2 linked regions of the Tamandua tetradactyla genome follow. The protein of the gene in region 1 purifies or fractionates together with the protein of each later gene. This does not show direct contact. Links are inferred from orthologs where the notes say so. Each region holds a gene or a part of one and is shown in the gene's direction. Other genes may lie near its edges. The genes, in order: PSMB2 and PSME4.

Region 1 (11,588 bases):
CTCACTTGCCCTAATGGGCAAGAAATTCAATTTCAAAAATATTTTTCAGGATTATCTCTCTCACTAGGTTCACACAAGAATTCTGATCACTATAGACTGGCTAGGATCAGTTATCCTAGAAGCAGAGCCTGAGACAGGGATTCTTTTTCAAGTGATTTATTAGGGGGAGTGATTTCTGGAGAAAGGGTGGGAGAGAGGATAGGATAGGGAAGAAAAATATAGTAAGAATTTGGTCTCAGTTGATTCTACAAGAAATATCTGGAGCACAAACTTTAGGGCAGAATTAGTCTCTCACTGAGGCAAGGGAGTCAATCTTTTGTATCCTTGTGTCAATTAATTGTTGATCAAGGTGGGATATACCCTCCAAGATGAGTGGGATGGCAATTTTAGAAAAGAGAGGGCAGCTGTGAATTATTATCAATCAACATGTACATCAGCTTGGGTGTGTGTGCACTGATAGGTCCACTACAGTCCAACCCTTGTACCAGTCACCTCCTCTTGCCTCTCACATTAATTCACTGTTTAGGTACAATTTCTCCAGGATTATGGTTGGTCAAAATGTCTGAGGAAGTGGAGGGTTACTGGAATGAACTATCGCCTTTGAGCTGTAACCAATGTTCATCAGCAACCTCTCCCACCACTCATATTAGATCCCTCATACCTTTGGCTTGCCTGGCGAGTTGACCCAGATGATCATTTCCATGGAGTCCAGTCTCCCGGTCACCAGACCCTTAGCCCAGGTCATGGTTTCTGTAATTGCCTATTTAAAGTTCAACTGGACATGGGAATACAAGAGATTCCCCAGTGAAACACTTGCGTGTCAAACATATTCCCCCTGTCCTCCTTATGTATCAGCAGACTTATCTTTTCCTAATGATTAGGTCAATTACTCCTGCCAAGTTGTTCATGAAGTTTACTTATGCCCTTTTGATCCCAGATGTACCATCTTCGTTTAATGATGGATTACAGCTGGGCTCACCTGATGTTGTAACGTGATGGCTTTGATAGAACCCAATTCATATTTGGAAGTTTAAGCCACTTGGTCATTTGAAGTCCTGTGATCAGACACTCTGTTTCTACCAGGATGCTATGGCCTTGTTTCAGAATTCAGGGGGTCTGTGTTGCAATTCTCCCATTGGTCACTGCCAGAAGTTCCATGTTTCATTGTTCTCTGCCATTGACACCACTAGTAACATGCAATCAGCTGGGTCACATGACCTAAGTGGAAGGATGCTTATACTGCAACCTGAAGTTGTTAGCCGACTTCCATATGTCAATAGATGAGACTATTTATATATATAAAATGAAAATTGCAAGGTTTAGTTTATTACTACTTAAATATATACTGGTCAGGCACAAGTTCTCTAAGCAGAGCAATCTTAAACAGAGTTAATCTAAAACAGAGTGTTAAGAAAGCATGAAATTCAGAGATTGGTGAGTTTTCAAAGGTATAAGTGGGTTGACACAATCTTTAGAAGTACGGTTACTTGGGTGAGACTGTTCATTGGTTAGTATTCAGAAGGATATTCATTAAGATGCATCAAATCTTGACTGGCTGACTTTCAGAAACCAGCTCCTGGTTTCTGAATGGTTGACTTGCAAAAGCATGTTCACTGATGTGAGTTGTTGCCGATTGGTTTAAAAGGGTTTAAAACAGATTCTGGTGACTGTTTGTTACCACGGGTGTAGAAGTGTCTTTTATTGATTTCATAGGTTTAAAAAGGAGTCCAGTTTGATACTGTGGCTTCAGAACAATCTGTCTCTTCATAAAAATATGGAAACTTTTAAAGTCTCAATTCTTTTACAGGCTTCACTTATCTAAAACTACAAAAGAAACCAGCAAGAATTATTCAGATATTTACCATTGTTGTTTCTTTGAAGATGAAGCTTTATTTGCAAAGGACTGATTTTTTTTCACGTTAATCAACATGATTTAATCCATGTAAATGAATTTAAAACTCTAGACAATAAATATCAAGAATAACTGTAAATATTATGAGTTTGGAAAGCACTATGGAAATACGACCCAAGATTTCTCAGTCCTAATCAAGAAAACATGTTTAAACAATAACTTGGGTCTACCAGATTTGCTATTCTTTTAGTTTAGGTGTATGTAGATTGTTCCATTTCGCCTGTAGTATTAACCTACGTGCAATTTGAAATGTTAGCAGTGGCCTAGATTCTCCCTTCATTGCCCAAAAGAAAATCTAATGCTGTTTTGTTATTTATCTAGGAATGTAAACAGATTTGCTGCACACTGAAGGTATGAAAGGCCATGTTTCTTCATCTAAGCATTGTCTACACAGTATTGTTAACTTATGGATATTAACTACTTAATACATTGATAAATATCCTCAATTTATATTTATCTTTGAACATTATAATGACATGTGATTTTATGTAGTCAAAACTATTGGCCTTTTCCTCCACTGCTTCTGTCAGAGACATATGTGCCTTCCAAAGATTATGGAAATAGTCTTTGTTTTCTTCCATTTTTTTTACATGGCCAGGCACTGGAAATTGAACCCGGGTCTGCCGTATCCCATATGGCAGATGAGAACTCTGTCACTGTGCCACCATCACCCACCCTTTTTCCATTTTTTTAAAAACATTTTTTATTTTGAAATATCACATTTATGCAAAAGAGCAATAAATTTCGAAGTATGTTGTAACAAGTAATTACAGAACAGATTTCAGAGTTTGGTACGTGTGCTGGTTTGAAAATATTATGTACCCCAGAAAAACCATGTTTTAATCCTGATTCAATCTTGTGGGGGCAACCTTTTCTTTTAATTCTAATTTAAGACTGTAGGATGGAAAGTTTTGATTAGCTTATCTCCATGGAAACGAGACACACCAATTGTGGGTGTGACCTTTTGATTAGATGGAGATGTGATTCCACCCATTCCAGGTGGGTCTTGATTAGTTTACTAGAGCTTTAAAAGGGGAAATATTTTGGAAAAATCTCAGAAATGACAGAGCCAACAGAAACTGCAGAGCAGAACTGACACAGAAGCCAACACTTGGAGAACAGAGACATGGATGTTTGTAGATGCTTGGGGCCTAGAGACGTTGCCATGAGATGTTAAGCAAGCCAGAAGCTGGAGAGAGCCAAGGGAAGCCAAGAAATGTAAGCCAGCCCCAGAGAAGCAAAGTGAGGAAACCCCACAGGAATAGAGGCTGTAAGCAACAGAGCCCAGGAGCAAAGGAACAGAAGATGCCACTTGACTTCCCAGTTGACAGAGCTGTTCCAGACCCATTGGCCTTTCTTGAATTAAGTCATTTTTTACTGGATGCCTTAGTTTGGACATTTTTATAGGTTCAGAATTGTAATCCTTGCAATTTATTATATTCCCTTTAGAAAAGCTGTTCCAATTCAGGTATATTGCATCCCAGCAGCTTGCAAACTAAAACAGTTCCACAATTTAAGGTTTTCCTTCTAGCTGCTCCAAGACACTAGAGACACTAAAGAAGCATCAGTATAATGATTCAGCAGTCATATTAATTTGTTAAATAGTATCTTCTCTTTTATGATTCCTCCTTCTCTTGTGATTGTCCCAGTTGTGTGTGTGTGTTTTTTTTTTTTTGCTGTTTGTTTGTTTGTTTTACATGGGCAGGCTCCAGGAACTGAACCCAGGTGTTTCTGGCATGACAGACGAGAATTCTGCCACTGAGCCCCCATTGTGCTGCCCAGTTCTCCAAGTCTTTGGGGTATTTGGACTATGCCCATTCTAACTTTTTCATGTTGGAAAGGGGTGGTGACAAAATGGGATAGGGGGATAGAACTAGTTGATGTTCTTGGATAGGATGGCCCCTCTGCATTTCACGACTTATCTGGCCTAGAAATCATCTGGAGGCTGTCAGTTTCTGGCAAGTAATCTTAGTACATGAAACTTTTGTAGACTGTCAGAGCTCTAGGTATTCTTTAGGGTTACAGGAATGGTTTTGGTTGGGGGTTGGCAAACTGTAGTAATTAGCAATATCTAGCTGAAGCTTGTGTAAAAGTAGCCTCCAGAATAACCTCTTAATTCTAATTGACTTCTCTTAGCCACTGAGACCTTATTTTATTACATTTCTTTTTCCCCTTTTGGTCCATCCCCTGGTGCCAGGGCCAGGCTCATCCCTGGGAGTCGTGTCCCACGTTGCCATGGAGGCTTTCACCCCTGGATGTCATGTAGGGGGGAGGACAATGATTTTACATGCAGAATTGGGCTTAAAGCGAGAGAAAGGCCGCATCTGAGCAACTAATGAGGTTTTCTAGAAGTAACTCCTAGGAAAAACTATAGGTAGACTTAGCTTCTCTGCTACACAAATAAGCTTCATAACAGCAAGCCTCAAAATCAAAGGCTTGGCCTATTAATTTGGGAGTCCCTAATATTTGAGACAGTATCAGGGGTTTCCCAGCTGGTAAAGTTTAATAGTTCCATACTTTTTCTCCAGTCCCTGAAGGGACTTTGCCAACACTTTTGAATTATCTGCCCGACATACTCTGGGATGTATCTGGGTATTGCATTAAGTTCTACAAAACTAAAGCTCTTATTCCCATTCTGGGCTCCATGTGTTTGGGTTGTTTAAATGTGCTGTCCAGACAGATTGAATTAGATAATGTGCTGCAGAAGTTTTGGACAAAATAAACTTCTCTTCCTTTGGTCTTATACGGTAGGTAAAGTTCTAAAATACAGACAATGTCATCTTTTACCCTGTATTCTGATTTAACTTAGTCCTGACCAGATCAGCTTCGTTCTTACCTCTAATTGAAGCCTGATCTCTTTTTCGGTTTCTTTAACAGTTGTTTTACGTAGTAGTGCTGACTTTCAGAGCACAGAACTGCAACTCTGAGATTTAGGTGTCACACAGGTACCCAAGTACCAGCTTATACATATATAGCACAGCCTCTCCAAATTTAGAAATAACATTTACAGCTCCAGACTAAATGTGACTGCTATAAGAGTGCACAATCTAGGTCCCAATTTTCTTATAAGTATTTTCTAAAAGAGATCATACACTATTTGTTCCTTTGTTTCTGGCTTATTTCACACCATATAATGTCCCCAAGGTTCATTCACCTCGTTGCATACCTCACAACTTCATTCCTTTCCGAAGCTGCAAAATATTCCATCACACGTATATACCACAGTTTTGCCATTCTACTTCTCAATGTATCCTTCAGTTACCTCCATCTATTGGGCATCACGGATAATGTCCAAAGTAAACAATCCATGTCTCACTGTATCCTCACTTAGTTGTGCAATCATCAACAATCTCAATTTTAGACAATTTTCATTGTTCCAGAGAGAAAAATAACAGATAAACACACCCTCACTGTTCTGGTTTCCAAGCTGCCAGAATGCGATATACCAGAAACAGAATGACTTTTAAAAAAGGAATTTATTAAGCTGCAAGTTTACAGTTCTAAGGCTGTGAAAATGTCCAAATTAAGATACCAACAAGAGGTTACTTTCACTCAAGAAAGGTCGATTAAATTCAGGGTTTCTCTCTCAGCTGGGAGGGCACATGGCAAAGTCTGCTAGCTTTCTCTCCTGGCTTCTTGTTTCATGAAGCTCCCCTGGGGATATTTTCTTTTTTCATTTTCAAAGGTCTCTGGCTGCATGACTCTCAAGCCTTTTCCAAAACGGTTCCCTCTTAAAGAGCTCTAGCAAGCAACTTCACCTTGAATGGGTGGAGACACATTTCCATGAGACCCATCTAATAAAAAATTACCACTCAAAATTGGGTGAGTCACATCTCCATGGGTACAATAAAAAAGCTCCCACCCAGCATACTGAATGAGGATTAAAGGACATGGGTTTTCTGGGGTACACCACGGATTAAAACCAGCACTCACCAAACAGAAAGTCCAAACCTCCCCTTAACTCCTGTCCTTCTCCACCCCCCACCCCACCCCCACCCCGACCCCCAACCCTCCCACCCACGCCCCCGGACCCCCCCCACCCCCCCACCCCACCCCACCTCACCCCACCTCACCCCAACTATTTACCCCTTGTATTGCTGTAGTACTGTTGATGTCTTCCTGTTAAATATAGGCCATACTTGCAATAGTGGTTTTCCCCCATAACCTTTTATTATTGACTCTTTGTACAAAATTCATACTTTTGAGGTACTTCATACAAGAACTCATTTATATTTGCAGTGTTTCTGCAATGGTTTTTATTAATTTAGTCTTAATGCTTAGATCTTTAATTGAACTATAAAGTATTTTTGTGGAGAATGTAAGTAGGCCTTTTCTCACTCTATTTCTCTTCAATACAGCTTGCAAGGGAAGGGATTTCCAGAGATTTTACTGAGCCCCAAAAGTAAATGGCCCTACCCCTTTTCGAAACCCACCACGAGTTCAGCATTTTACCTATGGTGAGTGATTTCATCCTCAAGTGAGTCTTAAAATTCCTAATTTATAGAAAAGAGTCTGGTAAGAGACATCTATTCCTTGCACCGGCAAAGGACACGAATTCGTAAACCCACCACAGCTCAGAGTTACTCTTAACGCAACGCCCACTTTACAACCTCTCGCGACAGTTGTACGTCATCCGAGAGCGCCCGTAGCTGGGCTCTTGTCGCGGCCTGTGTCTTGCTGTCTCACCGGAGAGGGGAAGAAGCCCGCGAGCCCCGCGCTCTGTTGAACCTGTAGCTCTTGGCCTTTCGCCACCATGGAGTACCTTATCGGGATCCAGGGCCCCGACTATGTCCTGGTTGCTTCCGACCGGGTGGCGGCCAGCAATATTGTCCAGATGAAGGACGGTGAGAGGAAGCAGGGGAGGCCTGGCCGGGCCAGAGTGTAGGAGCTGCGGGTGGGAGTCCGTCGGGGATTGGGGTACGTGTACTAGGAAGGTCAGGGAGGTGGGGCTAGTCCTGCCTGCACTTCCTTATCTTTTAGAACTGTGGAGATGGGTAAACAAGCCTTGGGGTTTTCATTCGCTCCTCCTGCTTTGTGCACTGGCCTTCCCTAAAGGCTTGTTAAGCGAGAGTTTCCTAAGGGAATTCCGTTTATAAGTGTTTAAGCGTCTGCCGGGCACCGGACTTCCTTGAGCCCCTAATTGCTGATAAAGTTCCTATTGTCGCTACTCAGGAGGTTAATTTGCAGGCAGCATAAGGTGGAATGCTGGGGACATTGACACTGTGGGGTCTAGAAGTTTGGCATTTCCCTACTGCTGCCTGTATCTTCCCGTGACTCAGCTCTGATGCTCCTTTTCTAGTTTTGAGGACCCTGGCACTTAATATATCCTTATAGTTAAGTAATTAGTGGATTTAGGAGACTCGAATCCAGCCCCATCATATATTTGCTTTGTGACTTTGTACGAGTTGCTTCGCAGTACCCAGATATTTTCTTCCTCAGTAAAATTAAGTAATACCAATCTCACAGGTTGTTGTGAGGACTGAGTCAGTGAGATAGGTTTATGTGCAAATGTCTAGCACAGTGACAAATACTTAGGAGTAATAGTACTAAACACATTATATACCAGGTATTTTAAACGATTTACATTAATTCATTTAGCTCTTTGCCGCAGGTACTATTAGGTCTCCATTTTACAAATGTTAGTTCTGAGGCACAGAAGAAATTTGCCCAAGGTCACAAGTGGCAGAACCCAGGTTCAAACCTGTGCTATCTGACTTCAGACATTTTGCTTGTAACTATGTATCATACTTTCTCTCTATAGTAAGTACTCAATAAATAATTTAAAAAATATTTTAATTGTTGATCCGTGAAATCGTGTTTTCATGATTGATCATAGAAATGGGTACTGTTGAAAAATTATCATGCTTGGTCTTAGAGATGGTTTAATGCGCTTTTTTAAAAAATTGTGGTAAATAACTTATAAACAAAAACAATGAATTTCAGAGTACATTGTAACAAACAGTTATACAACAGATTTCAGAGTTTGGTGTGGGTTACAGTTGGTTTAATGCTCTTTTGACAAATAAATTTTGAGCATCTGTATGTATGGCTGTTAACAGTGCTAGGTATTGAGGGATGCAAAGAAGAATAAGATGTGGCCCCTACCTTAAAAGATATTTTATATATATATATATATTTTTTTTTTTTTTTTTTCATGGGCAGGCTCTGGGAAACAAACCGGGATCTCTGGCATGGCAGGCGAGAATTCTGCCACTGAGCCATCATTGCACCACCCAAGATACTATAATTTGATAAGGGATTTAAATATGTTTTCAAATAATTATAACGCAGTCTAGAAAGTCATGTGTCATGTGAAAAGTATATTCAAATTTCTCAGGTAATCCAGAGGAAGAAGAGAGTCTTTCTGGTTGTAGAGATTAGGGAAAGTTTTCAGGGCAGATGACAGTTCATCTTGGGTTTGAGGAAAGAAGCATTACTAAATCTGGAGTTTCCTGAAGTGCGTGAACAAAGGCAAGAAGTGTCCATTGTTGCTGCTGCAGACATCTGATTGTCAGGCTCTCATCACCTGGGGAGATGGAAAGCCCTCTGAGAGGCTTTGCTTGTGTTTGCTTCTTTCTGAACATAGAGAGAGGATCCCAAAAGTAGTTTGTTAAAGTATCTATGTTGTGGATTGATCCTCAAGAAATTACTTCATGAAATTCCAAGATTAGTTTGTAGAAGTTTTGTTTATAAACTAGTTTTTCCAAAGAAGTGAATATTTGTTTGAGAGTAAATTTGTCTGTTATTTTTAATGCTAAGGCTTTTGACAATCGAATGATTTTAGCAGGATGATGTGTCTAGGTAGAGCAATAACCAAATCAGTACCTTTACAAGTTTGTTATAATAATGTGTGTACAATCACTTTGAAAAGCAAAACGTGCTTGAAGACTACTTATGTACACAGTACTTTTAGGTGTTGTAAGGGATGCAGTGTATGAGATATCTGCAGGGGTTCAAGGCATGACACAAAGCAATAAATACTGCACCATGATTACATATGGTAAAAGACATATTAGTCATAGTAGGTTAGTTTTTAATATATATATTTTTTTAGTAGAAAATATAGAGTTCCCATATACCCCTCCATTATTAACGCAACATATTTATAACCTGAAATTTCCCCCTTTTAACCACATTCAATTATACAATTCAGAGGTGTCAATCACATTCATAGTATTGTGCTACTAGCACCACAATCATTACCAAAACCTTTCCATCACCCCAAACAAATTCTGCACAATTCCCTATTCCCTACCTCTACCCTGGCCATTGGTAACCTGTATTCTATTTTCTGACTCTGAATTTGCTTTTTCTAATTATTTCATAATCAGCGAGATCATACAATATTTGTCCTTTTGTGTCTGGTTTATTTCACTCAACCTGATGTTTTCAAGTTTCATCCATTTTATCAGGTCAGAACTTCATTCCTTTTTTTTTTCCCGCTAAATAGTATTCCATTGTATGTATATATCTCATTTTATTTATCTGTTCATTGATTCATGGACACTGGGTTGCTTCCATCTTTTGGCAATAGAGAATAATGCTGGTATGAACATCTCTGTGCAAATGTCTGTCTGAGGCCCTGCTTCAGCTCATTTAGGTGTATACCTAGAAGTGGGATTGCTGGGTCATATGGCAGTTCTGTAGTTAACTTTCTGAGGAACTGCCAAATTGTTTTCCACAGCAGCTATATCATTTTACATTCCCACTAGCAATGAGTGAGTGTTCCTATTTCTCCACATCCTCTCCAACACTTGTAATATTCCATTTTAAAAATAGTAGCCATTCTGCAGATAGTAACTCTTTGTGGTTTTGATTTGCATTTCCTTAATGGCTAATGATGTTGAACATCCTTTATATGCTTTTTGGCCATTTCTCTGTCTTCTTTGGAGAAATGTTTATTCAAGTCTTTTGCCCATTTTTTTTTAGTGATTTTTTAAGTTAATTTTTTAATTTTTAAAAAATGTAACAACAAACACACACATTCTTAACTTATGATCATTCCGTTCTACATATATAATCAGTAATTCACAATATCATCACATAGTTGCATATTCATCATCATGATCATTTCTTAGATCATCATTCAGAAAAAGAAATAAAAAGACAACAGAAAAAAATTCATGCATAACATACCCCTTATCCCCCCTTTCATTGATCACTAGCATTTCAATCTAAATTTATTTTAACATTTGTTCCCCTATTATTTATTTTTATTCCATATGTTTTACACGTCTGTTGATAAAGTAGATAAAAGGAGCATCAGATAACAAGGTTTTCACAATTACACAGTCACATTGTGAATGCTGTATCATTGTACAATCATCTTCAAGAAACATGACTACTGGAACACAGCTCTACATTTTCAGGCAGTTCCCTCCAGCCTTTCCATTACATCTTGACTAACAAGGTGATATCTATTTAATGTGTAAGAATAACCTCCAGGATAACCTCTCGACTCTGTTTGGAATCTCTCAGCCATTGACACTTTATTTTGTCTCATTTCGCTCTTCCCCCTTTTGGTTGAGAAGGTTTTCTCAATCCTTCCAGTGATACTGAGTCTAGGATTTCTGTCCCATCTTGCCAGGAAGATCCACACCCCTGGGAGCCATGTCCCACGTAGACAGGGGGAGGTTTTACCCATTTTTTAAATTGAGTTGTTGGCTTTTTTGCGATTGAAGGACTTCTTTAAATATTCTGAATAGTAAACCCTTATTGGATATATGGTTTCCAAATATTTTCTCCTGTTCTGTAGGTTGTTTTTTTTGTTTGTTTGTTTGTTTTTTTTTTTTACTTTTATGATAAAATCCTTTGATACATAAAAGTTCTTTAGTTTTGATGAGGTCCCATTTATCTGTTTTTTCTTTTTGGTGCTTATGCTTTTGGTATAAAGTCTAATTAGGTTAGATTTTAAATTAATGATTTCAGCAGTAAATCCCAAAAGTATTTGGGAATATTCAGGGAAAGGAAAGATCATTGTGTTATGGAGAAAAGAATTTAAATTAGTTCTTGAAAAATGGTTGAAAATACTTATACTCAGCTTTCTCTAGTTATCCCTGTAATCTTTTCTGGCATAAATTTTTTTTTTTTTTTTTTTTTTTTATGTGGACAGGCATCAGAATTGAATCCAGGTCTCTGGCATGGCAGGCGAGAACTCTGCCACTGTACCACCATCACCTACCCTGGCATAAATTTTTAAGATAGAGCTTTGGAATTACATGAGGACTCTTTCTCCCACATTTCATTTCATGAAAGAACTTATGCAGGGTAGGCAAGAATGCTGAAAATGAGTCCCATTTTGGGACTCATTTGCTCCAACTATAAAATGAAAATAATACTTGGAATCAGTTTGTCTTGTAAGATGTTTTGGTACTATAGAGAAGACTGTTCCCAAAGATTGCTTGCTTATTTAAGTGGTACAACTCTTGATTTGGTTATGTGTTTTATCTCATATCTCTTGCCTCCTGGCTTGTATAGAATTGCTTTTAAATTATTCAGAGTACTCCAACCCGCACAGAACTTTCTGTTCTCTGAATTCCTATAACACATATAATCTCAACTACATTGTGTAACAGTGAGTATAGTAATATACCTGTATAAGAATTATTACTGTTTTCCTCACTTGTGAATTAGGCAGGGGTTAGTGATATGACTGTTTTACATGTTAGGACATAGA
Region 2 (12,453 bases), on another chromosome or scaffold:
TTTTCCAGTCTGTGGAAGGGAGTTTGAATTAGTTTTGTCTAGAGGCCTTAAGGGGTAGGGAGATCCTAGTTGATGTTTGGTTAAAATTTTAATATAGTTGTTTACATGTCTGTCAGTTCACTAGGCAGTGAACTCCTTGAGGACAAATACGGTGTCATTCATCTCATGACCTCAAACTTGGCACACAGGAGGCATCCAATACATGCTTATTGAATTAATGAATACATAATTCACTCCAAAGAATTAAGGATTTGATATACAGCCTCTCTTATGCGTCTATAAGTTCAAAAAAAGATTCTACTTAGTACAAAGATGGCAAACAGAAGCATTTCAAGAATCAGATCAAGTGTGAGTGTTTTGCTACCTATTCAAATTACACTTGCAGAAAATCCATTCTCTGCCTATGAGTAAGGCATGTTCTATTTATATACTCAAAAACCAGGAGTAGGTGGATAGAGTGTACATTCTCTTTGTGTATTATTATCTATCACATCTATTGTTAATTTTTTCAACTGCCATTAAAATATACATCTCTTTACTGTTTTTTATTACAAGGGAAGTTGTAAACTATATCATTCCCAGCTTGTCAAAATGAAACACGAACTTCAGTGGTACTGAATCTTGTACTTAAATATCAACAAAATATTTTTTAAATAATAAATTATTTTTTAATCACTAGATAAATATTGGCTTTTAGAAAGGCATTACCAATGGCCACCTCTGTGATATGATTTCAGGGACTCAAGGAGAACTCTTAATTGCTCACAATTGCTCCCTTTTGCTTCCAACGATGCCTGATACTTTAGAATTAGGTCATTCCTTAAGAGTCTTTCAGTTCCAGTGGCATGGCAGCCTAAGCCAGGACAGAAACCCTCTTACATAGAAATGCTGGATTGAACATAAATACAACAACAAATGAACTCACACAAAAAAGGAAAATCCTTACATGTCAGACATGAAAAGGAAGGAAAAACCAAAGCAGTAAGTGTGGGAATTGACTCTGCATCAACTTTGGAGCAGGTACTAAGCCTGGAAACAGCAAATGACTTGGGTTTTTTGTTGCTGTTGTTTAAATGTGGAAAATAAATGAATTTTAGTTGATTACAAACAATAATAAACAAGATTTATCTGAAACTTTCTTAAATATTAGAGACTTTTATGAGAGTACTAATTTTTATACACATCAAACCAAATGAATTTTTACTACTCATTCCATTTTATATGTAAAGAAACTGAGAAACGGATGCTTATCATCCTTCCTCACTCTTTGATTTTCTGATTATTCCACAAATAATTAGTTAACTTCTAAACTTTGGAGTGGAATCAGTAATTAAGAAGTTTCGCTACCAGAGAGCAAGAAATTGGAAAGATAGAGAAAAAAAGGAAAATTATAATACACTATGAAAAGTTCCTAATAGAGGTCAACACACCACCCAAGAGGTGATGGCTATCTAATCCATTTTTTGAGAAGGTCAGAGAAAGTTTTCCAAAGAAAGTTATCTCTAGGTTTATCTGATGAATGAGAGTTAGCCTGGAAAAGTATGGGGGAGGAAAGAGCTCTCCAGGTAGAGGGTACAGCAGTGCAAAATCTGTAAAGGGTGAGAAAAGATGAAAGAGCTTGATAACAAAGTCATACAAAGAACAAGGAAGAAAACAATTATATATTTATCTCAGGTATAAGACTTAAGGGAAGTGTCATAGCATGTATTTTCTTTTTTTAAGTATTTTTATATGGAGAGACTAACCTTATTCTACATTACTCCAGAAGAAAGAATGACCAGCAGAAATTAACTGGAGTTAAAATTTGGTGGCTTACAATTTAAGATTTTTTAATCTTAATAAACTTCTCAGCAATTAGATTGCTCTAACAGCAGAATGAGAAAGTTATCCAGAATGAGGTAGAGAGACAAAGATTTGCAAACTATATGTAAAAGATATGAAATCAGAATCAGAAGTTACAACATATGACTAGCAGGAAGAATTCTACAGGAAGAGAAGTGGGAGGAAGACATTTTGGACAGTAAACAGTTGAAAATTTTGCGTAACTGATGAAGTATATGAATCTTTTGATTCAAGAAATAAATTTCCCATGAAATATAAATAAAAATAAGCCCACTACATTGTACTAGCTACACTGTAGTAAAATGGCTAAATGCCTAATAAAGAGAAAAATATAAAATAATCATAATAACAATCATTCCTTTAGCTCCACTCTCCTTATTAAAAATTGAACTCCAAAAATACTCTAGTTCAAATGAAGTGGATAGTACGAGAAAGATTTTTGGATGAAAAATCCAAAACTTGAAAATTATATAGGAATCAGAAAAAAATTCTCAACATTTCTCAGAGTCAGTGTTCTTGTGCCTTTGATGTGTGACACAGCAAGAATGTGGATATTTGAGATGGAAAAATGAGTCATTATAATTCAAATATTTCTAAAGATTATGCACCTGGCAACAGTGATTCAATCACTTGCCAATTTTTCTCCATGCCCAAAGTATATCATATAGAGGGAAAACTACAGCAGGTGAAGAAATAACATTAATAATATATCTTTATTCCATTAGTTGCTACTAAGTGGATTATTAAGAAGTGGGACAATAACTATACCAAACATATATCTTTATTTTTTAGAACAGCTGTGATTTTACAGAAAAATCATGTAAAAAGTAGTTTCTATATACCACCTCCCCCCCATACACAGTTTTCTTAAACATTGCGTCCTAGATAGTAGGTACATTTGTTTTAATTGATGAATCAATATGATTATAATTACATTATAAACTAAAGCCCAAAGCTTATATTAGAGTTCACGCTTATGGAAAACAGTTCTACGCCTGTTTTTTTGTTTTTTTTTATTGTGGTAACATCTATACAACAGAAAATCTCCCATTTTAAGCACTTTCAGGTATACAATTCAGTGGTGCTAGATTCACAGTCTTGTATTATCATCAACATCATCCGTTACCAAAGCTTTTCCTTCACCCCTAACAGAAATTTTGTACCGATTAACATTGTCTCCCCATTTCCTACCTCAAGTCCTGCCCCTTGTAACCTGTATTCTAATTTCTGACTTGATGAATTTGCATATTCCAATTATTTCACGTGAGTGAGATCATACAATATTTGTTCCTGCCTGGCTTATTTCACGCAACATGATACCTTCATTACTTTTTATGGCTAAATAATATAAAAACAAATACTTAATGATAATTACACCTGCCAATTCCTTCAGCTTGAGGGGTAACCTTTTTTTCAGAATATTTTCCAAGAAGGTGTATTGTACTTTCTGGGTCTTCCAAGAGGGAAATGATATTTTGCTTCCTTGAGGGGTCTGATAAGAAGCCAATGTTCTCTTTAAGGTCTGGATGAAAGGACTATGGGCAGTTAGACTTTGACAGAGGTATCCTGGGCTCCAAGAAATAAGAAGTGCTTGGTATTAGGACTGAGAGGAAAAACCCTAGATTCTGGGTTATTGTCTCCATTGATGAGTAGACTAGATGACCCAAAGAAACATAAGTTCTTTCAACTTTCTCACCTAGAAGGGGTTTCAACAGTCTTTTCTATTAAACTTTCAGGTACAATAAATAGTAGAGAGAGACTTGATTTCTTTTGCTTCAAAGACTTTTTTGACTTTTGCAGTTCACATATCCACTCCTAGGAACCTGACCTCACCTGGAACCGCTTTGAAATCTTAATACTAAACATTCCCCTTCTTTCAGATCCCTTGCTCAAACTAATCCTTCAATATTGTCCTTTTACCTCCTCAGGATCTGCCATGCCTCGGCCCCTTATTCTTCCCCTATCAGTCTTCTCTCCTTCCTAAGGCTTCAAACAACTTAAGATGTTAATCACTCCCTTTCAGATATTCTCAAATCAAGTGTCTATATTTACAGAGAGTACTCAATAAAACAGTGTAGTTAATATGCTGGCAGATAAAAGTGCTCAATAAGTGGTATTCCATTATCACCACCAAAACAGAAAACACTCTCTTGCTCCTTTGTCATTGTGTCATACCAGTCATACAATCTTGGGCTATTAAACACTTTTGGAGAAAATAAGTGGATTGTACACAGAGATGATAGTAAATTCAGGCTTCCAGCCTTAACTAGGTACCTCTCCATGCCAAGCAAGTCTACTGTGTTTCTCTAATCAATTTTCTGATTTTTGAGACTACTCTAACCCTTGTTCAATTTCCTCACAACTCCTACCCACCACTTTCCCTATCACTCTCATTGTCTTCCTTCAAACAAAAAAAGAAACCATCAGAAATGTACTTTAACTTCCAGCCACTAAATCTGCAAATCTTCCATCTGCCCGCAGCTATCCTTTCCGTGTTTCCTCCTGACTATGAAAGCGGTCTGGTTTTCCTGGTAAGGACCAGCCCCTTCACATCCCCTCCCACTGTTATCCTGACCCACAAAGCTTACCTTTCTCTCTCCATTCATCCCTTTTCATCAATATGTAAATTTACCCCACCTTCAAAAACTCACTTTCATTCCTGATACATCCTTATACTTATCCTGTTCTTTCCATCCAAACTTTTCAAAAGGATTATGCACATTTGCTGCCTTTGTTTATTTACTTTCCATTCATCTTTTGTCACTGTAATCTAGTTTCCATTTCTACATTTCACAAAGTTGTTCTTATGTAATTTATCAGTAACTCCAAGGAACCCTTCTCAGGTTTCTTTTCATTTGACCTGCCAGTCTTGTTTGCTACTGTTGATCACTTCCTCTATCTGAAACACTCTGGTTTTACTGATGGTCTCTCTCCTAGAACCCCTACTACCTCTCTCTGACTGCTCTTTTGAGTATTCTCTGTGGGCTACCTCCTCTTTCTCTACCCATCTTTAAATGTCAGGGTTTTTCAAGGTTCTGTCAAGGGTCCTATTCTCTATTTCTTATTCCATCTGATCCATATGTCAAAATATCTACCCATCCCATAGGCATTTTGTCATTTCTGTCTTTAAACCTGCTTCTGCTCCTGTGTTCCCTATCCCTGTGAACACATCCTTCAGTCAGAAATTTGCCATCACCCTGTCTCTTCTTTTCCACTCTTCACATTCAATCAACTACCAAGCTTGACAAAGTAATTTCAACTGACATCGAGGCCATTATTAAGTCACCCAGATCATGGCACAGACTCTTAATGGATCCTCCAGTTTACCATCTTGCCAGTTGCAATTCATTCCCCACACAAAGCTAGGGTATCTTCTAAACTGCAAATCACATCATGCCACTCCTATGCTAAAAATCGATCCTTTAAAAGCTTCTTGTTGCCTTTAGGATAAAATGCCAAATTCTCTAGCATTTCCTTCTCAGTCTTATTACTCCACGCTCCTCCTTTCGCGAGCAATCTTCAACCATTCCTGACTTCTCTGAATTTGCAGAGTGCAGGTTTGCAGCCTCTGAGCTGTTCCCTCTGCTGGAATGTATGTTCTCCCTTTTATTCCTCACCAATTCTGCACGCAAACCTTAAATATCACCTCTAGGACCCACCTGACACCCCTCTAATTTGTACTATCCAGAGTTTCCAAGGCATCCTATACTTTCCTAGCAATTAAGAGCACTGTCTTGTAATTGCACATTTCCTTGACTGTAAGGCCCTGGAGGGCAGGAACCAGGTGCTCTTAAAACTCTCCCTGTCAAGAGCCTAAACCGAGAGCCTGACGCGTTCAATGACTTAACTGTTCTCTTCTCGGGACTGATGGCTACCGGAAGACCAGAAAGACGAAGGCTTAAAAGAGACAAAGTAAAAATCTCTAAGTAACAAATAAGATGGTTACAGGGTACACAGGCGCTTCCAGAAACTCTTATATAGCCGTGAAGTAGGGGTAATTCAGCGTGGGGACCCAGACCGACTCCCTCGCCGCAGGCCACGGCGACTGCGGGCTCCCAAGGACCGCCGCCAGCAGCGCGCGAGCCCGGGCGGGGCAGGACAATAGCTTGGAATTCTACCTCGTGCTTCCGGCGGGGCGGTCTCGCGCGCTGCCGGTGAGGCCCGGGGGTGGGGGCTAGAGCCCGGCCCGTGGCGAGTAGGCGCGGCCCCCCGGGCTCCCGCCGCGGCCGCCTCCGACCCGGTCCCGTCGCCCCGCCCCGCCCCGGAAGTGACTAGAGGTCTGTCCGGAACCTCCGGGCCCGGCGGCTGCAGCGTCACCAGCAGAGCCGGTGTGGGGCGGGCGGAGCTGTCGCTGCCGCCGCTAACGAACCCGGGACCGCGCGGGGAGCCAGCGGTCGGGCCGAGGGTGACGGGCCGCCGGCGGCCGCAGGGGGACGACGACGCGGAGGAGGCGGAACCCGGAGAGGGGAGGGGGTCGGGGAGGGCTAGGGTGGGAGGGGCTGGTGGGGTGTCCCTGGGCTCATGGAACTGGCCGAGCGGGCGGGCGGCGGGGAGCCCCCGGAGCCGGGCGGGCGTCCTTGGCCCTGCCCGCGGGCCTACGTTCCGCAGAAGGAGATCGTCTACAACAAGCTGCTACCTTACGCGGAGCGGCTGGACGCCGAGTCCGACTTGCAACTGGCCCAGATCAAAAGCAACCTGGGCCGGGCCGTGCAGCTCCAAGAGCTATGGCCCGGAGGCCTCTTCTGGACCAGGAAACTCTCCACGTAAGTGTGCCCGGAAAGGGGGCTGGAGGCAAAGGCTCAGCGGGAAGGCATACGGGGGTCTCGCACGACTGGACCCCATCTCTGCCCGATCTCTAGCCGGTGGTCCTGTGCAGTATCCCCGGAGGCCGGGGCACACCCAGACCACCTACTGCCACTCTCCTACGGGACCTCTCTAAGTCCTCCCTAACTGCTTCTCCCCAAGGGTTCGGGTTGTTGTCTTCTGATCTGTGGGGCCCCAGAGAGCCGGAGGGCACAGTGCCCCAAGGGGAAGAGATGAGCCATCCTCGAGGGTACACGTTGGACCTTTGCTTGTAGGTAGAGAGGATTCATCTTTGAGGGAGGAACTTTTGACTTCCCCCGGTTTTTTCTTCCCCTACGGTCTCCGCCTCTTATCCCTCTGTTAGCGTCTAGTAACTTTCTGCTCTCAGTTTCTGAATGGGAAGGAGGCCGTAGGAAAACTTCGGAGTTCCTTTTCTTTTTCATTTGGGGGTTGAGGGTTGGAGTTCTTGTGGATTTGTTGAAACGATTGGTTTCAAATCAGCTCTTAGCGAATCCTTGGGCCATAGACTAGAAGTTAATCTTAAGTCTAGAACTGGGGTAAGTGTATGTCACCGTCCTTGTGACTTTTCCTTTGGAAAGATCTTTACAATGCTAAGGAAAATAGGTAAGAAAGCTGTCAAGTTGTCCAAGGTGTTATTAGTATCAGACTTGTGTTAAGTTTTGAGTGGCTCAGATGGAATCATTTGCTGGAATTCTCTTCCTTTTTCCTTCTTTTTTAAAAATGCATAAACTAGCTATAAACTATAGTGTCACTGAGATTAGAAAAAACTGCTGTGGGGGGAAAAGGCTAGAGACTTTATTCGCTAGAAGGGGTTCTTCACTGTTAGAACTTTAAAAAAAGAATATTACTGTAGCATGTTTGATTAACTGTACATAAAATATGGTAACATTGTATGTTCAGACTTGAGGTTATGGATGGTTGAGTGCACAAGATATGTAACTTAGACAATGTTTACCCAAATCTGCTGAGTGAACTGGGTGATGACTCAGGGTTTTGTAATGCAATAGTCTTCTCCAGTTTTCACCAAGGAATGATTTTTATTTGCCAATTATTAGTGCATGTGACAAATTTCTCCCTTCCTCTTAGGGAGATGGGAATAATTTACCTTTTTAATTAAAAAACAAAGCTAAAAACAACTTGCCCTCTTCAAAAAGTGTTCGTAAAAGGTATCCGTTCTCTTGACTAGAGCGTGAAGAAGTTTGGTTTGTAGGATCCGTAGAAGATTTAGGAGTAAAGAAGAAAGCAACAGAAAGAAGAACCACTTTTAGTCAAAATGGGAAGAATCTTTTATAAATGATTAAAATTCAAGTGAGCCTCCTAGGTGTTTGTGTTTTTCAGGCATAGTAAAAATAAAATTATATTGTCAGCTTCAGTAATTTCCATTCTGTTTGACTTCCCAGACAATACCATTTTTGTGGACACGAACAGCTCTTTTCAATGTACAATATATAAGTAATCCAGTATGAGAATGCATATCTGTTTGGGATTTATGAACCTAGAATCTACGAAGGCATAGTTGAACATTGTTTTCTAAAATATTCATTATTAGGTTTAGTAAATTAGCATGAGGTCTTTGTTTTTCCTTTGTTCAGTTTACCTAGAAAGGGCTAAATATAGTGAAGACAGCCCTTGGAGTTTACAGCAGCATTGCAGTTATATGGCTTAATTCTTATGGACCCTTGTTCATTTAAAGCTAAATAAGTGCAAGAAAGCTGTCATGTAGAATTTTATTTTGGAACAGTGGTTAAATACTGCAAACTGATTCTTGAGATGACATTATGTGACATTTTGAACTTGGTGGGACATGTTGTGATCTAGGGTGTGTTTTTTTTTTCCTACGTCATATGTTAAGGTGAACTTTTTATAGTTGTGCTTGTTTTTTAAGCCCTCTGTGCTGCACAAGTTTACATCTAAATAATGCCAGGATATGTGATATTAGTTGTCAGTTACCTGACATGGTGATCATATTTATATTTAGTCCTCTTAAAAAGAATGGAGAGATATGTAAATAAAATCTAGTTTCATGGTATCTTTTTAAATAAAGTGATTTAAAGAAATGAAGAAAAGATCTAGTTTCAGCCACTAACACTGTGGTAGAAGTTATGTGAAATGAGAGGATTGGGCTAAATAATTCTTGAGGACCATTCCTGCTCTAGTATTCTATGATTTTATTTTTATATCCATTAAAGCCTGAAATAAGCCAGGTTATCTTTCTACAAGGACTGTTCGAGCAATTTGTGAAATACTGGAAATACTTGCATAGATCCAGTACATTTCTAAAGACCAGGGTGTAAATGCCCTTCTGGAAGTTCTGGGCCTGGGTATTAGACCAGAAGAGTGTACTCCTAACATTGAGTTCTACATTTGACCCCCTTTTTTGACATTTTACCCCATTTCAGTAGTTAACTAATTCTGCTTCAATCCATTTTTACTCTTGCAGGTCTGTTTAGCATCTCTGGGAAGAAGGGTTGTATCTGTGTATTTTAAAAATGGGGCCTTTGAAATAATACACGTTCTCTTGTACAGGTAGTTTAAAGGATTAGAACTGCCTCTTAATGAGAGAGTGAGTGGTGTAATATATCACAGGGCCAGTTTTTAAGAAGGGAGGAAACAAATTAGAGAAGTTGACACAAATTAGAGAAGGGAGGCACAAATTAATGGCCTTTAGAAAGCAGTAGACAGCTAGTGGGTACTGTAAGTAAAAGGTATCTATGTGAAGGGTCTAGGTAGGTAACTTGTCCATGTAAAGAATGAAGCGAGTTGGAGAAGATAATCCTGAAACTTGGGTTTTCTCCTATTGTCATTTGATCACAAGACCTCAGTATGTCTATACTCAAGATCTTACCTAACCTTTCCAGTGGTATTTCAAACTCAAATTTAACAGTGGACTGCTTTATTTATAAAAATAAAATTGTAAACATAAACTTGAGCTTCTTAGATTAAATACACACTGACATTTTGCTTCTTTTTTGACATTTTTCTTTTAACATTACTGATGATAGATCCCTGAAGTCTGCTCAGGGCTCCAAAGTACAGTTTGAAAACAGTCATTGGGCTTGATGGCCCCAAAGGGCCTTTCTGTATCTAGCTCTGAGTTCCTTTAAACTGGTTTGGAAAGGAGAGGGAGGAAAAGGAATGGGCTTTTACTGTGTTTCCTACAAGTTTACCCCATTAATGATCATTTTTATCTTTGGTTCTTTTTTTTTTTTAACAGAATTTTGATTTTAGTCAAGTTTTTATGTGACTTTAGTTTAATATGAAGTAAATTTACATTCCTGTTTGTTACAGTGAGGTGTTATATAGCCTGTGCTGTTTTATAATGAAATGAATGCATTATGCTGAGGAATCATTTCATTTACTAATTAAATTGTGGTTCCCTTTAGAATGAAATCACAGTTGTTTAATTATTATTAAGAACATTATGTAGCCTTCCTGGATAGAAATTGGATTATCCTAGTTGAAACCATATAAGTTGATTATATACCCACTGGACACTGAAGTTTAGTCAAGGTATGAGTTCTCAAATACACTGACCTCCTCTTGAGGAATGTAATAAGTGACCACAGGAGTCCCCAGTTTAATATCATCTTGGTGTGGAGGAAAAAGTACAAAATGCTAACTGCTGAATTTCAGTTCTTTGTTCTGAAATGTGATGCTTTTGAGGGTATCTAATATTTGAGTAAGGAAATTGAAGTATGCAATAAATACAAGTGCTTTTTTGTGAAAGAATCTTGAAATCTTGACAACTTATCACATTCATCAGTGAGAACCAAAGGGGTTAAAGTTTATTATTAAGTAACGATATTTACTTTATTTACATTATTAAGTAACCACATTTTAAATGGGGATCAAAATTTCTTTGTAGCAGAAAAAGTTGGTTTTCCATAGAAAAAACAAAGAAATGAATTAAATTACTTTGTGGGACATGAATTCTTCTGACAAAGTTGTGTAATAATAGAATAAGGTATCCTGCTTATTTGGTTTTTCATAGCACTAACACATTTTTTTCAAAAATTTATCAAAATAATATCAATTTGCAAGAACCCCTCTTAATCATTCTTTTTTTTTTTTTTTTTTTTTAACATGGGCAAGCATCAGGAATCGAACTCGGGTCTCTGACATGGCATGCAAGAACTCTGCTTGATGAGCCTCCATGGCCTACCTTTAATCATTCTTTTAAAATATCTTATCAATTTATGCCTCACTAGTTACTTTTTAATAATTCATTGGCTATTTTTGCCAGAATCTTGTCAGTGGGTAAATGTGTGATTCTTATTTGAACAGTTTTCTAATACCATTTATTTAGTTTTTTGTTTTAAACATTTTTTATTATGGAAAATATCAAACATATACAAAGAAGACAGACTATAATGAATCCTCATGTACCCATCACCTGTCTTCAACAGTTATCAACTCATGGTCAATCTTGTTTCTTCCATTATCTCACTCCACCTCATCCCCACCATTTTTTAACAATTGTAACTTCATTTGTAAATATTTCCAGTGTTCATAGTACATGGAACCTTGAGTAGGGCATGAGATTGTAGGGTTGTCCAGAGTGATGCCCCAATAAATCCCAGAGTGATTTGAACAGTGAATAAAAAAGTATTTGCAAAGTCCCCTTGAGGGAATGGTGAGAGAGGGGAAAAATTTAGCTTCCCCAAGTGGAGAATTCTTGATATTCTCACAAGCAGTGGGGACAACTAGAGCAGTAGGCTGAGCCCCAAATCTTGGGGTTTGTTCATATGAAACTTAACACCCTGCCAAGGGTAGGCTAAGCCTACTTAAAATTAGGCCTAAGAGTCACCCCCCCCCCAAGAGAACCTCTTTTGTTACTCAGATGTGGCCTCTCTTTCTCTCTCTCAGCCAACATGACAAGCAAACTCACTGCCCTCCCCCTCTCTGTGTGGGACAGAACTCCCAGGGGCTTAGACCTTCCTGGCAATGTGGGACAGAAATCCTAGAATGAATTGGGACTCAGCATCAAGGGATTGAGAAAACCTTTTTGACCAAAAGGGGGAAGAGAGAAATGAGACAAAATAAAGTGTCAGTCGCTGAGAGATTCCAAACAAGAGTCGAGAAGTTATACTGGAGGTTATTCTTGCGCATAATATCGATATCACCTTTTTAGTTAAGATGTAATGGAGAGACTGGAGGGAAGTACCTGAAAATGTAGAGCTGTGTTCCAGTAGACATGTTTCTTGAAGATGATTGTATAATGATATAGCTTTTGCAATGTGATTGTGATTGTGAAAACCTTGTGTCTGATACTCCTTTTATCTGCCTTATTGACAAATGAGTAAAACATATGGATTAAAAATAAATATATAATAAATACAAAAAAATGTTAAAATAAATTCAGTAGATTGAAATGCTAGTGATCAGTGAAAGGGAAGGGTAAGGGGTATGGTATGTAAGAATTTTCTTCTGTTTTCTTTTAATTTATTTTTCTAAATTGATGCAAATGTTCTAAGAAATGATCACGATGATAAATATACAATTATTGATGATGTTGTGAGTTACTGCTTATATATGTAGAATGGAATGATATGGTAAGAATATGTTTGTTATGTTTTAAAAAAATTAAATAAATACATAATGGGGGAACAAATGTTAAAATAAATTTAGTAGATTGAAATGCTGGTGATCAATGAAAAGGAGGGGTAAGGGGTATGGTATGTATGAATTTTTTTCTGTTTTCTTTCTGTTTTTCTAAACTGATACAAATGTTCTAAGAAATTATCATGATGATAAATATACAAGTATTGATGATATTGTGAGTTACTG

What was found.
Region 2: the proteins of PSMB2 (region 1) and PSME4 purify together in Homo sapiens (affinity purification with mass spectrometry; 3 studies listed by BioGRID and IntAct, counting the BioPlex papers as one, with this or other methods). This does not show direct contact. The link is inferred for Tamandua tetradactyla from reciprocal best matches to the Homo sapiens genes PSMB2 and PSME4.

The regions. Positions count from the first base shown.
Region 1 is NC_135328.1:189,729,456-189,741,043, forward strand, and holds the start of PSMB2 (proteasome subunit beta type-2), read left to right. Parts: upstream 1-6,539; 5' UTR 6,540-6,665; coding exon 6,666-6,756; intron 6,757-11,588. UniProt on the Homo sapiens protein: Non-catalytic component of the 20S core proteasome complex involved in the proteolytic degradation of most intracellular proteins. This complex plays numerous essential roles within the cell by associating with different regulatory particles.
Region 2 is NC_135343.1:26,259,809-26,272,261, reverse strand, and holds the start of PSME4 (proteasome activator complex subunit 4), read left to right. Parts: upstream 1-6,348; 5' UTR 6,349-6,363; coding exon 6,364-6,605; intron 6,606-12,453. UniProt on the Homo sapiens protein: Associated component of the proteasome that specifically recognizes acetylated histones and promotes ATP- and ubiquitin-independent degradation of core histones during spermatogenesis and DNA damage response.